Linked DNA regions of Arabidopsis thaliana. The protein of the gene in region 2 interacts with the protein of the main gene of each other region in a pairwise test. Each region holds a gene or a part of one and is shown on either strand. Other genes may lie near its edges.

Region 1 (6,745 bases), 880 kb from region 2:
ATTGGTACTAGTTCTTTACTTCAATCTAAGAGTATGTGTAAGAATATTATACATGTGATATAATTCATGCTTGCTTCAAAACCGTGTAACATAAATCATTAATCAATTGCGGTTGCGGTTGCGGGAGTTTGCGGAAACAGGCGGTTGCGGTTTCAAGCATTATCAAGCGTTTTGAACGACTGGTTGAGCGTTTGATAATGGGTGCGTTTACGGAAGTTTTATGACTGGTAAATCAGCGAGTGCGATAGTAATTAAATAAAAAATAACCAAAATAAATATAATATATTAATTTTAAAAGAAAAAATACAATATATTATTATGATAAATTGATAATATTAGAAAATTAAACATGCTTAATAATTAAAACCATAAATAAAACATTAAATTCAAAAATAAATAAATTTTGTAAGAAAAAGCTTAGTACTTTATGCATTTGGTACATCACCAAAAATTGCATCAAGTAGTGTAATAAACTGTAAATAACGTTGAACTCGTGGATTTTCCGGATTGCCTCTATACATATGATAAAGTTCTAACAAGAAACGGGTCATCTCGTCTGACCAAATAATTTTCTAATCGAGAAAACAAATCAAAACATATATTCAATAAAAAAACTCAAAAAAATACAAAATAAAAAAAATGACGATGCCATGAAATACTCAGAGAATTACACTAGCTAATGAATGGATGAAAGGATAGATCATACTTACGTTTGATTTTTGATTTTGATTTTGATTTTCGTTAGTTTGGGTAGATGCCATAATTGAGAAAATAGGGTTTCAATATATTGATTAGGGTTTTCTGATAAGAATAAAATATATAGGGTTTGGATGGAAGATATAATTATTTTAATTAATTAAAAAAAAAAATTAACCTAACCGCTACCGCCCGCAACCGCAAACGCTTACGGGAAGAAGCTTTTGAAATCTGGCGATTTCAAGCGGTCCAAAACGGTATCTAGCGGTTTCTATGATTAGTGTCAAACGCTAACAACCGCTACCACCCGCAAACGCAGCGTTTGCAGGTGGCAGAGGGAGAACCAATCAAAACATTAGTCACTGGTTTAAATTGCGTTCTAACTCTGTAAGCCTCACTTCAATTTTGGTTTTAGGCCCCAAAAAAAGGGATATACTGTTATGGGTTTGATTCGGTGAGATATTTGCGTCATCAAAATATGTATGATAAGTTCAAGAAGGGACACAATTGGAAATTATTAGCGTTGACATTAAAGAAATACGCGTGGAAGATTAGCGATACAATCATACAAGCAGAAGAAGCCATTTTCTAATTTAAAAACGATTACACACCTCATCAGTCATCATCATCAACATTCCTAAACCCATTTTTTGTGATAAATAAAAATAAAGTAAAAAGTAGATTAGACAGGGACATGATGGGACCACCACCAAGACCATTACAATAATACTAGTCAGGCTTCTTCTGTCTGCTCCACCCTTCTGATTCAGTGACTGTGAGCCTCGTGTCCCTCCTATATCACATTTTAAAATTCACAATTAATTTAAAAACGAATTAAAGAATTAACAAAAGTATACAAAACACTTGTTATACGCTCATGGTCGCTACGTTAGAGAATTAGGCACACTCTTACGTTTCCTAGGACTATATTCAATGCATTATTAATCTTTATAAACAAAGATTCGTTCTTTGACCCACCAAAGAATACTAAAACTAATGGTTACTTTTACTTTTTTTTTTTGCTTTATGAATCTCAAAACCAAAAAGATAAAAAATTTACCCGGTGGGGGAAAATGGAGTGGAGGATGTTGGGCTTGGTGGGCTTGGAGTGGGTGGAGCGGAGGACGCCGTGTTTCTTGAACTGTTCTCTAACAACACGGTTGTAGATAAAAGCTGCGCCTTGAAACTGAGGAAGAACTAGCCAAGCCACGAACACAAGTTTCACCGTATACCAAATCGGAATCCACTCAATAAGCGATTGCAGAATCAGTTCCGTGAGTGAGAGGAACGAATATATTATCCAATACGCAAGCCACTGTTCATCGTCCACTTTTGTTGTGCTCTCCATTGCTATCACCGATGCGTACCTGTAATCAAAAACATAATTAGTAAATATTCACAGATTTTTGTTTTTAATCTTCAACAAAAAGTAGAGAGATCGAACCAGAAAGAAACTTTTTCTTTTGTTAAAGGGTTTAACAAGAGAGAAACTTACAATGGATAAAGTAACATCACGATAGGCCTGCATATACATTACCAACAAATCGATTACGGTTTGGATTAGAAATCGAAACAGAGGAAATCAAAAAGTAACTAATTTTGGAAACATAATGGAAGGAAAATTAAGATTAAGAATAATTACCCAGCGCCTGAATGAAGAGCAGTGAGGAAAGTCCAAAATTTGTCCATTGTTTTTCTTCCTTTGCAAGATTTTTGGAAATGTTTAGGGGCTCTGTGAAATAAGAGAGAAAGAGAGAGCGACAAGTCTGTGTAAATTTCGAGGCGAATCAATTTTATGTAGAAGAAGAAGACAAAGAAATGTGAAAGGAAGAACCTAATTTATAGAAGGAAGGTAAAGGTATCTAAGAGAGAAATGGTACGGTTTGCTACAGAAGTTGGTTGGTTCACACACTTTTCATTGGCTCTTATTGGTGGAATATCATAAATAATATTTTATTTTTATTTTTTTAATTAACGTCGTACTAGAACGCTGATGCCGACATACAACTAGTCCGGTCTGGTCTGTCTTTGGTCTGTCTGGTTCGATTGGGTTCGGTTAGTTTATCCCACACGTGGCGAGATTCTAAGCTTGAAGGCGTCGACATGGCACCGACCTTAAGAATAAAAAAGACAAGACGTCGGTCGGTGAGAGCTTATGTCATTTCTTTATTTCTTTATTAATCTTTTAAAGAGATACTTTTGTCATTTTATTAATCTTTTTGCTGATTATTATTTTACCTTCTTTGCAAAGTTCAAAATTTGTGATTAGTTTGATTAAGGGTGAAACTAATGGGTTTGATTTTCTCCCAAGTCACGTAAGCTTCGGAAAAAGTTATGACCCAATTACATTCTTTTGTTCCTTTGATAGTCTAATTATATATATTTTGAATCTTCTTAACAAGTAACTTCGTAAAACCCAACAAATAGTTGATTCAAGTAAAACATATGACTGATGGATTCAAAATGAAAGATATACTTGGAATTATGCTTTTTTTCTTTTGGGCAACAAAACACTGCAAATTCATAAAAATAGCTTCCAAAAATGAAAACCCAATAAAGATGTAACAATTGAATGTGTGGCCTTCTTTTGTTTGAGTCCATTTTCTATTTAAATGATTAGCATCTTTTTTTGCTCAACTAAATGATTAGCTTTAACCATACTAATTTTACACAAAACATATTTTCAACATTAGTGTCACCGATGCACCTAATCACCACCAATGTAGTTCTTTCCCCAAAAAAGTTTATGAATAGAAAAGATGTAGAGGGGTGTAGTTTTTGCTTCTTCATCCAATGATAGAGTATTATTTTGTAAGATTTTCCTAAAACCATAAATACATACATTACTTATACTGTTTTAACCAACATAGTTACAGCCAAAGTTGAAGAGGTTCAATGAATTAAAAGAGAAGGCGAGAGGTAATAATACAAAACTAAACTTTTTTTATTTATTGAGATTGATGAACATTCTCAAACCAAAATAAATAAAAATATCAAGTAGGAACCAAAGTAATGATTTGTGTATTCATGGAGAGATGATCAAAGTGGTTCATCAACACAACTAAAACCCATGACAAAAGCAGCACCATTGTAACAGAAACAAATCTTCTAATCGTTGTCTTCTTCTTTGCTTTCGTGGTATCACTCGAACTCGTCACATTCGAAGACCAACAAGATGAATGAGAAAGCAATGTCGTCTTCTTAGTTTGATCATCATCATCAGAGTCGTGAAAGAGTTTTCTCCTTAATGGCGATATTTCTTGTATCATCTCTGCCTTTGGTTTGTGTTGGAGAGAGAGCATTAGGTTTCTGGGAGAGTTTTCGACATACTCAAGAGCATCTTCCACGGTAATCCATGAAACCGCAGATGAGTTTTTACCTGTTTTCATGGCTGTCCATTCCTCCTCAAGCTCTCTCAACTTCTCCTTCAGATGTTCGTGTGAACTACTCTCCTCTCTTTCTTCCATTTTCATTTCTTACCATTTACTTTGCTATGAATTAAAATGAATGTGGTTTATATCACTGTGAGATCTCTCACTAATTACTTTTAAAAACTTAGCTAGTCTTTGAATTGAATTATAATATTTGAAATTTGAAATTGAACAATTCAAATGTCAATAACTGAAAATGATTTTACCGAAGGAAAATCACAACTGATCCTCCACTAAATTCTGCATTAAATTTGTTCATAATGTGAAGGCAAAAAACAAACGATTGAGATATACATGGAATCTCAGAGATTATAGAGTTTAAACTAAATCAAGGCCCACTGGTTGTTTAAGAGGTAAAAGAGTCGGAAATGTCTTCCATCACACCTTTCCCATCTTCACCATCATAGTAGAAGAAGTTTTTCAACGGGTCTCCTTTGCCTGATACTGCTTTGATCACCTCCTGCCACATCAAAAAATCTTTCTTGTCAAATTACAAGTTTCTAGTGAGAAGATTCGAATGCGATAAGAGAGTGAAAGTGAGAGAGAGAGAACCTGTGCTAATATTCCTCCCACAATGGCACAAACTGGCGGGAATTCAGTAGTACCAGTGATAAGTCTCTCCAAGAGAATATCTGGTATATGGCTCTCGCTCACAGACTGAGAGACAATATTCAGTTATTCAGTGAACCTGGCAGTGACATTTCTAAATAATGATAAAACAACTAAACACACTTACGTTTGCCTCACAGAGTTGCTTTTTGATTTCCAAGACTCTGGCAAGATCGAGTAGCGAACATTCTCCATGTTTACGCCCTTCACTCTCTTCAAACACTTCTATTACTGAAAATTTCATGAGAATGCCAAAGATTAGTGAAGAATTTTTGTTGTATGTATCTGCCTTGGGATCTCAATTTTCATTTGTGGAAAGTAATAAAGAAATCAGCTGTAGTAACTAGTAACTACCTCTCATAGCAAAGTAGAGCTTTGCTGTTCTCCGAGGAATCGGTTTCCATGGTACCGATATAGCTTCCTGTGGCAATAAACAAATCTAATTTATCACAAAATCCTATGCAGATGTAAGGATTATTAGTAGCGAGAACTAGTGTTAAATTGTACCTGAAAACTTGGAAAATTTAGTTCGCATTCCACCATCTCTTCAAGCTTTTTCTGTGGAAAGAAAATTATCAGGAAAACAATACAAAGGACATTGTGCAAATTAGAAGTTGTTAATGAAGTTTAAATGTTCAATGGAATTATAGAAATTTAAAAATAAGCCAGATGAAATGTCAAAACAGCACATAATCAACAGAAGAAATGCAACAACAAATCATGCAAGTACCTTTGTGTACTTGTAATCTTGGAGGTCCACAAAGATTTCACCACATGAGTCTCTACAATCGACTGTATAGAATGCGACACGTTTCTTTAACTTCCGACATTTTTCATTGACATATTTCTGCAAAAAATAAACAGACAACGTCATGAAGAGATGTATGGAGCAACTAAAGATGAAAGCAAGTGGTAAATATGTAAAAGGTGGTATAAATACTTTGGTAGCACGAGAACCATAGCCTATAACTACGACATCAAACTGCTCAAAAAAATCAGTGCCAAGCATTGACAAATCACCTGAAAGATTTGAAAAATTGATCAGATAATAGTCGGTATGTTTTTAAAACATTAACGGAGAGGTATTAGAGGGAAACCTTTCTCTACGGAAACACGGACCATAGGGTTGAAATCCTTGAGTGAATCACTACAAATCTCAGCCACAGTTTTGCCACTGTAAACATTTTCATCAGGCGGAATCAAAAAGTTAGCGTTCAAGGCCTCCATGTTTGCTAAACGATCATCCATTAAAGTCACTGAACCAACTCCTGCCAGCACAATGTTCTTGCAAAACTAACCCACCAAATGGAAACAAAGCCAGGAAATGCAGTAAGATACCATTAGATTAAACTAATTGAAAAGCATGACATCTCAGCATGAATTATAGAGTTACAGCTACCTCAGCAACAGTCCCCTTAATTCCAGATACCAAGATATGAGCTTTGGTCAATCTGCAAGGCAAAACACCAACCTCACACTATATCAAATCGTGCCAAGCTTACAGAGTAATTACATGGTAGTGTAGTGTATCAATAAAATAAGCTTCAGCAAAAAGCAAAATATGAATGAATACATCAATCTTAATAGTTAAAAAACAAAACTCTCATCTCAGAACAACCTAAGGGAGCTCATAATTAGGAATGCACTAGTCTAGAAGCAGAATCCAAACGCTAAACCAATAATAGGTATTAACTAAAATTCTCTTAAGACAAAGACAAACAAATAAAAACCAAAACTGAAGCCAAGAGAAAGTAATCGAATGGAGGAGAAGCAAAAAAAAATACAATTTTAATGATCTAAATCCGCATTTAAGAAGGGACCATTAAGCATTCTCCTAAAATGGCCAAATAGTAAGAGTTTAGTACTCAAAGCCGACTCAAATCATAATTGAGATGATGCAGCTTAAAAGCACTTAAATTTAGAAAAGTGAAAACAAGATTGAGTGTTGAAAAGAACAAGGGGATGAGAAAGTAACCTTCTCTGAGCATTAGCGCCCCAAACCCTAATCT
Region 2 (7,279 bases):
TGCCCTACCGAAATGTTCCCCAACTCTCAGAACAAAATTTGTTGGGTTGATTGCTTTAAACCCCTTTGCGAGGCCGTGTGTCGGGGTAATTATTTAACCACCAATTTCTTTTTGTAATTGATGATATACCAATGCAGTTTAAAATTAGAATTAATAGAATTTCATCATTTTGATTAATTTTAGATTTTGAAAATATGTTTTAAGATTTGGATATGATCTTTTGTAGCGGTAAAACCCAACTGCGAATCCTATGGATCAATTTGTCTAGATCCGAGGTTCATAGGTGGTGATGGAATTGTGTTCTACTTCCATGGAAAGAGCAATGAACATTTTAGCATTGTCTCGGACCCTGACTTTCAGATCAATGCTAGGTTCACTGGTCATAGACCTGCTGGCCGCACTAGAGACTTTACATGGATCCAAGCTCTCGGCTTCCTCTTTAACTCCCACAAATTCTCCCTTGAGACCACCAAAGTCGCCACTTGGGACAGCAACCTTGATCACCTCAAGTTCACTATCGACGGCCAAGATTTAATTATCCCTCAAGAAACTTTATCCACTTGGTAATCATAGAAACTCAAATTTTACCCTATCATTTTTGTAGGTTGCGATTGTTTCAACTTTTAAACGTCATCTTTGTCTATTCGTTTAGATTTTCATGTAAACACTCATTATTTTAATGCATATTATCAGGTACTCATCCGACAAAGACATCAAGATTGAAAGGTTGACAGAGAAGAACAGTGTGATCGTGACTATCAAAGACAAAGCTGAGATCATGGTCAACGTGGTTCCAGTGACCAAAGAAGATGATAGAATCCACAACTACAAATTACCTGTAGATGACTGTTTTGCCCATTTTGAGGTCCAGTTCAAGTTTATTAATCTGTCCCCAAAAGTCGATGGAATCTTGGGACGCACTTATAGACCCGATTTTAAGAATCCGGCTAAACCAGGAGTCGTAATGCCAGTGGTGGGAGGTGAAGATAGCTTTAGGACATCTTCTCTGCTCTCTCATGTTTGCAAAACTTGTTTGTTCTCTGAAGATCCCGCCGTTGCGAGTGGCTCTGTCAAGCCCAAAAGTACATACGCATTGTTAGATTGCAGCCGTGGTGCGTCTTCCGGCTATGGACTCGTCTGCAGAAAGTAGTTACCAATACAAACTCAGTTTGCTAAGAATTACAGATATTAAAAGTATATTGTTATGTTTTGTGTACGTATAAAATTTATATGTTTGTCAAAATAAAACAGAGGAATAAGGTAATTAAGAACCAAATTCTAAAGAAAGTAATTGTAACTCAGTTATTTACATGTACCAGATTATCTAATCCTTAAGAAAACCATTATATTTTTGTTGTGCTCCAAATACGCAGTAATCATTTAGAGCCTAGCGTAAATTGATAAAAAGGTTATCTTCTATTTGAACACTGACTTCAAAACCCAACTTAATTAAGACATCAAAAGATGTTAAGCATCACACTCTTGGATCCGGCTATTAATATATACAATGTACTTTTGTTGTTTTAAGATTTCCAAAAGTCAAATTAATAAAATGAGCAGCTTATTGCAGCAAGTTACAATGCTCCTAATATAAGGACCGATAAGTGTGGATCACGCTCGTGTGGACGTAACTTCTAAAGACTTTTTCTTTATTTTTGAAGTTTCAAGTTTTTAAAGTCATATACATTTCAACTTAATGCATGTGTGGGTGATGCCCAGATAAGGCACACAAACCCGGCAACTCCCGATCTCAACGTGAAGTAAAATAGTTTATTTTAAATAAATTTACAGAGTGGCGTCTACAAATTCACAATCAACACGTTTCTTTTGACACCAGTCGACACATAATAAAACAGGAAGAATAAACTAGACATGAAGATCTCAAACACCTCTTCGTTAATGCTGTTTTTTCTTGCGGCCATGTTATGTTTCTTGCGAGCCAAGTCACAAGGAGTTTACTGCAGCAACCCTTAGGAACGATGCTTCCAAAAGTACATACTGTGTCCGCAAGAATGTCCCACCACCGGTGCCGCAAACTCTATGAACAGAGTCTGTTACGTAGAGTACTCTGCAACTCCGAGTGTCGCAGTAAGCGAAAATGCCTTTGAACTTTTTGTATTAAGCTTTTTACCAAATTTTGGGTGTTAAGTTATTCAATTCAGAACTTAAACCGTTTTGTGCAAATGGTATCAACACATAACCGGTGTAAAAATATTGGTAACCATTTATTTTTCTCTCCGTTGAGAAACATTACACATTTGTGGGCCGTCAAGTTGGATCAAACTAGTCCCCAGTCGAGCCTTTTTCCTTTGTGGAATCCTAAGCCTCACCGAATCGGTAAAAGCCCCATATAAATCCCTATTATTTACATCAATTGCCACTCTACTATCTCCAAGTTTTTTTTTTACTTTTTTCACCCATCAGTAACTTCACATCTCTCTCATTGCCTAAACTCGAATGTTTGACCCGAAACACCAAACCCACTCGAGCTGTACCCGAAACTCTGAGTCAACCCGCTCGAGTTCTGCTGCCGATTCACATGCCCACTCTCCGCCTCACCTTCCGCCGCTCGAAACGCATCGTAACCACCGTAACTCGGTAATCCATTGGTCGGAGCTAGCTCTGGAATTGGATTAAGACCTGCCAAGCTAGCCCAATCAAAGTTCCCGTTAAGAATCGTCCTGAGCGAATTCATCCGAGGAAGATTAAAAGACTGGTCTTTTATCTCCGGGAACGAATCAAGAACGTCGTCAAGCTGTGATGAAGAAGACGATGACGACCCATTCGTGCTATGCTCTTCACGACAAGCTTGAACAGGAGTAACAGCTTGTCTCTGAGATCCAGATGTTTTCTTGTAAATTCGACACAACACCCAATCATCCAACTGTAACAAAGAAGCAAACTTTATCAGATTTTGATTTCAATTTTAACGAATTTGGATCTGGGAAAGTTTCAGTCTTTATTTACCTTGGAGCTTCCATGGCTACGAGAATGTTCTATTAAGCGATACTCGTGCATAATCCAGTTGGTTTTAGTGCCTTTGGGAGCTTTTCCGGCGTAAAAGACCAGAGCTTTTTTAATCCCGACACGACGACCATCCGCCGTGATAATTTTGTCAGTACCCGTTGCTTTCCAATAACCCGACCCGGCTACTCTATTGGGTCTTGACCCGTTCGGATATTTCCGATCTCTTGGGCTAAAGAAATACCATTCCTTCTCTCCAAACAAAGCCTTACCTAAATAGTTACAATTATACTCCCTTTAGTTTTAACATTTTCTCAAATTAAACCCAAAAGTATGACAATTGAAAATAACACCCTACAAATGTGAAACATGTTTGCTTACTTGGCAAATCCCAAGGATCGAACTTGTAGAGATCGATGTCTCCGATGACCTGGAGAGAGAAATGATAGCCTGCAACTTTCCGACATAGATACTGAACAAGAAGCTCTTCATCTGTCGGATAAAATCTAAAACCTGGTGGCAAACTCAACTGGGCTAACGGATCTTTCTCTCTAACACCCATTTATACTCTTCTACTTCGATTCCTCAGCAACCAAAAAAAAAAAGATTTCAAGTTTCGAACTCTAAAAACCCAAATTATATGTTTTTGTTTTTATGTTCGTCGATCTTTTGGACAATATAGTAAGTAGTTGGTTTATATAGGCTACGGAAAAGCCAAAGGTTCTTCAAGGATAAGTACGGTCGTCCTTGTCTTACTGTTCTAAAATCTAATTACGATTTTCTTTGTGGACCCGTTTAACCATTTAGATACTGCCACGTCTATGAACTGGCCGACCTTATCGATGTGTTGTACAATATTTTCCAGCGATATAAATGTGCAAAAAACACGAGGAAAATTTTCTCATGAGTAAGAAATTTGTGTACTACGATTATGAGAAAAGTCCGCTGAGTGATTGCAGTAATTTATTTTTTCTTATTCCATCGTGACATGTAAAATGTCTAAATATTTACTAGAAATATTCTAATTATAGTAAGTTTTTTTCCACTGAGAAAGCAATGAAGCTTTATTATTTCTATATTCGACTATATTGGTGCCGTTCGGGTGCATGAACCGTCAGGAAAAGCTAAAGTTTATCGACACGTGTTAAGCCAGTTGTCCTTTCTTCTAGAATTTTGATCAAAAGCCTAACAACGATGTGTATCAAAATGCTCCAAATAATTAGAGGCCAGTTCGATATTTAGTTTGTCCTGAAGCACTCGATCACTACATAGATTGGAGTCAGAAAAAGAAAAGAAGAAGCACTAACTATTTGACAGATAAATCTATTGAGTAAAACAAATGGCACTAAGACGTTTTTATGAACAAAAGAGTATTAATCAGACACGCGTGGAATGCATTTTCCCGTCCGTGTGAATTGTACACGTGTTGGGAGAGTTAGGCAAGACTTCAATATAAAAGAATCAAAAGAGACAAAAAAGAAGAAAAAGTAATAATAAAAACAGCAGAAAATATTGAACAAGTGTACAAACTACAAAGTTCTAACTAAAATAAATTGAAAAGATACGTTAACATAAGACACGTATATACAGAACACTAATAGTATGATTTTAATATTTTTTAGTTAAAGATAATAACATTTGAGAATATATGATCGTTTGTATTATACCATTAAGATTATCTCACAAATGTAGCAAGTAGTCTCTTTGTTTTTGATTAAAGGATAAATTTCAAGTTTTGTCAGAACAACTAAATTCGATTTTTATATATATTTCAATGATTATCTCATAAAAGACTTATTTCATATATTTTAGTTTATATTTAAACAAAAAGAGGTTAATTAGGGTTTCGTTCACTCAAGAAATACTAGAAATGGCCTAAGAAGTTGACAAGTGAATATTTGGACCATGCTGAACAGGTCAGAGAAGCCTTTTTATATATAAACATGTGACGCGATTCAAAGAACTCGATTCTTCTTCTTCTTGATAATTCTTTTTTTTTTGTTCTTAATTATTATTATTCTCTACAAATCGTTTTCAATTGCTTTTCGGATTTTTAGATTTTAGTGAACGTGGAGAATTCTTGTTCACAGAGAGATGGACATGCCCACCCATTTCTTTTGTAAGATAATAATTTCTGAATATCAGCAAAGATACGACAAGTTTGGTTCAACGATTCGCATAACTGCAAAATGTGTTGATAAGAAACTCATCAATCGCTATTCAATTAGCGTATAATGCTCTTATGATCCTGACAAAAAAATAAATTAAGAGATATGGTTTTGATGACAATGAGGTAAAGAACAGATTGCCATAATCTAAACTTGTTCAAAAAATTCTTCAATGAATTTATTTTATTTTAATAACATTTTTCTACTTTTTTTTCAAAAATACATTTTAATTGACAGAAATTTACCACTTTTGCGATAAATATCGTTGGTGACGTTTAAATCATTTTAATATTTGTTTAGAGAATAAATAGGTAGACTTCTATTTAATGAGTTCTAAACGTATATTATATATGGTCTTTTCTAAAGTATGTTTTTCTCTGCCAAGTTACATGTTGGTTAAAGCTTTAAAAGAGATAAGGTGATCACGAAGGTTTACCAAAAAGAAAAAGAGAGAAAACAAAAACAAAAGGCATTATGCTTTCTAAATGCATAGTCTATATATGCACTCTACATTTGTACATAATTAATTCGACAATACTTATAGTAGATAAGCAAAATCTGGACTACATAATTAATTCGACACTCATAATTGATTTAGTGATGACTATTCCATTCTGAATTTTAGACTCTTCTAAAATTTTGTAGATGGTAGCACCTAATCTATATAGAGATCGATGATTCTTAGACCCTTTTTTACCAATGAAATGTTTAAATAGTTCCCACTTCAACACAATTCTTCCAAAAATGACAAACTTCAACATATATATATATATATATATATATATATATATATATATATATATATAGTTTTAAATGAACTTAAAAACATAAATTGGAAAATGGTTATTAATTAAGAAGACAATTCTAAGTGTAAAATAGCGATCTGTAGCTGCAATTGTTTTCTGAAATTGTTGAATAATTATTTTGTTCGTATATATGATGAATAGCGTACAACATACAAAACAATCAGCTGGTTTATATATTAAAAATAAAATGAGAAACTAAGAAGGCCGCAATGGGTACCAGCGACTAATTAATTAACTTTTTAAGTCCTCTTCCTAATTTTCTTTAAACAGAAAAATTAAAATAATTTTATTATCTCATTTATGTAAATTAGAGTTTTATGTTTTCTCAAACGCTTGATGTCTTGTTTTTTTTGTTCTTTAATTTTATTTATAACACATAAAAACGTTACTTTGCAAGAAACTACAAAAAAAATTGGCTGAATTTTTTAGGGTATTGTCTGGAAACCAAGTTAAATCATTGTTCCCCTAACACCACTTATTGCTTGAAGTAATCTCAAATAATGGGTTATGTGATCATATCATTTGGATAGGAGGCTTGGAAGCCCATAGACCATAGTACGTTTACTATATATGCACCACAAATTCGTCAGCAGCTCGAATACAATTTCTTCATTTGGTTTTTGGTTTATATCAGAATATGACTTTTTAAAAGTGATCAGATAAAACCGCGTGAGCTAAAAATGTCTTTAGATGTACGAATTAATGAAGACTGGAATGATAACGTGTAAAGTGTGTTGGACTGGGAGCGCATACCAATAAGCAAACATGAATTTGGCTTTGAACTTTCCTTTTATACACACACAGAACATGTTCTTCACATTATACTACTTAGATTCTGATATAACTTGGACCACTTCAGCCGGACCAAATCAATCTCTCAAACTATAATTGATTTAACAAAAAACAATAATGCAATAAGAACTTATTGCTGTTATACATTCGTTCTTAATTACTCAAAAAAGTTCTAAAATCAAAAACAAATAAAAAGTGGAGATTATAACTAAGTAATCAGCCAGATTTGGTCTTACCAATCCTCGTCAAAGCGATATAAGCTATAACTCTATAAACAACAAGCATCGCAGTTAAAGCTAAGGCAGAGACTAATCCACTATTAAACCCTATATGCTTGATACCTTCAAAGTCACCAACATGACACCTCAATTTCCCATTATCGCCACATGGATACAACTCATTCGCCGTGTACTGACCCAATATCAGTAGTTTATATGTATAGTAACCGATTGATACGTATTTAATCCAAGAGATGAACACTGGTACATGTTGAACGTAGTATCCTCCTGCTAACAAAAACGTGAGCATTATGACTGACCCGAGTGTTGT

Evidence for each region.
Region 1: the proteins of RD26 (region 2) and HVA22D interact in a two-hybrid assay, tested with the Arabidopsis thaliana proteins (one large-scale study listed by BioGRID).

Annotation. Positions count from the first base shown.
Region 1 is NC_003075.7:12,823,700-12,830,444, reverse strand, and holds HVA22D (HVA22 homologue D), read right to left. Parts: upstream 2,590-6,745; 5' UTR 2,386-2,589; coding exon 2,339-2,385; intron 2,219-2,338; coding exon 2,192-2,218; exon of another isoform or gene 2,064-2,191; coding exon 1,757-2,063; intron 1,605-1,756; coding exon of another isoform or gene 1,585-1,604; intron 1,490-1,584; coding exon 1,463-1,489; coding exon of another isoform or gene 1,426-1,462; 3' UTR 1,142-1,425; downstream 1-1,141. Other genes in the region: AT4G24950 (uncharacterized protein), read right to left, coding at 3,690-4,163; SAE1A (SUMO-activating enzyme 1A), read right to left, coding at 4,474-4,587, 4,680-4,784, 4,864-4,967, 5,091-5,157, 5,244-5,294, 5,467-5,583, 5,677-5,756, 5,834-6,029 and 2 more.
Region 2 is NC_003075.7:13,705,488-13,712,766, forward strand, and holds RD26 (NAC (No Apical Meristem) domain transcriptional regulator superfamily protein), read right to left. Parts: upstream 3,527-7,279; coding exon 3,318-3,526; exon of another isoform or gene 3,260-3,317; coding exon 2,968-3,259; intron 2,885-2,967; coding exon 2,441-2,884; 3' UTR 2,413-2,440; downstream 1-2,412. Other genes in the region: AT4G27400 (Late embryogenesis abundant (LEA) protein-like protein), read left to right, coding at 1-85, 227-563, 694-1,150; AT4G27415 (uncharacterized protein), read left to right, coding at 5,065-5,199; ABCG9 (ABC-2 type transporter family protein), read right to left, coding at 6,947-7,279. UniProt on the Arabidopsis thaliana protein: Transcription factors that bind specifically to the 5'-CATGTG-3' motif and with bipartite regions with 5'-CGTr-3' and 5'-YACG-3' as cores.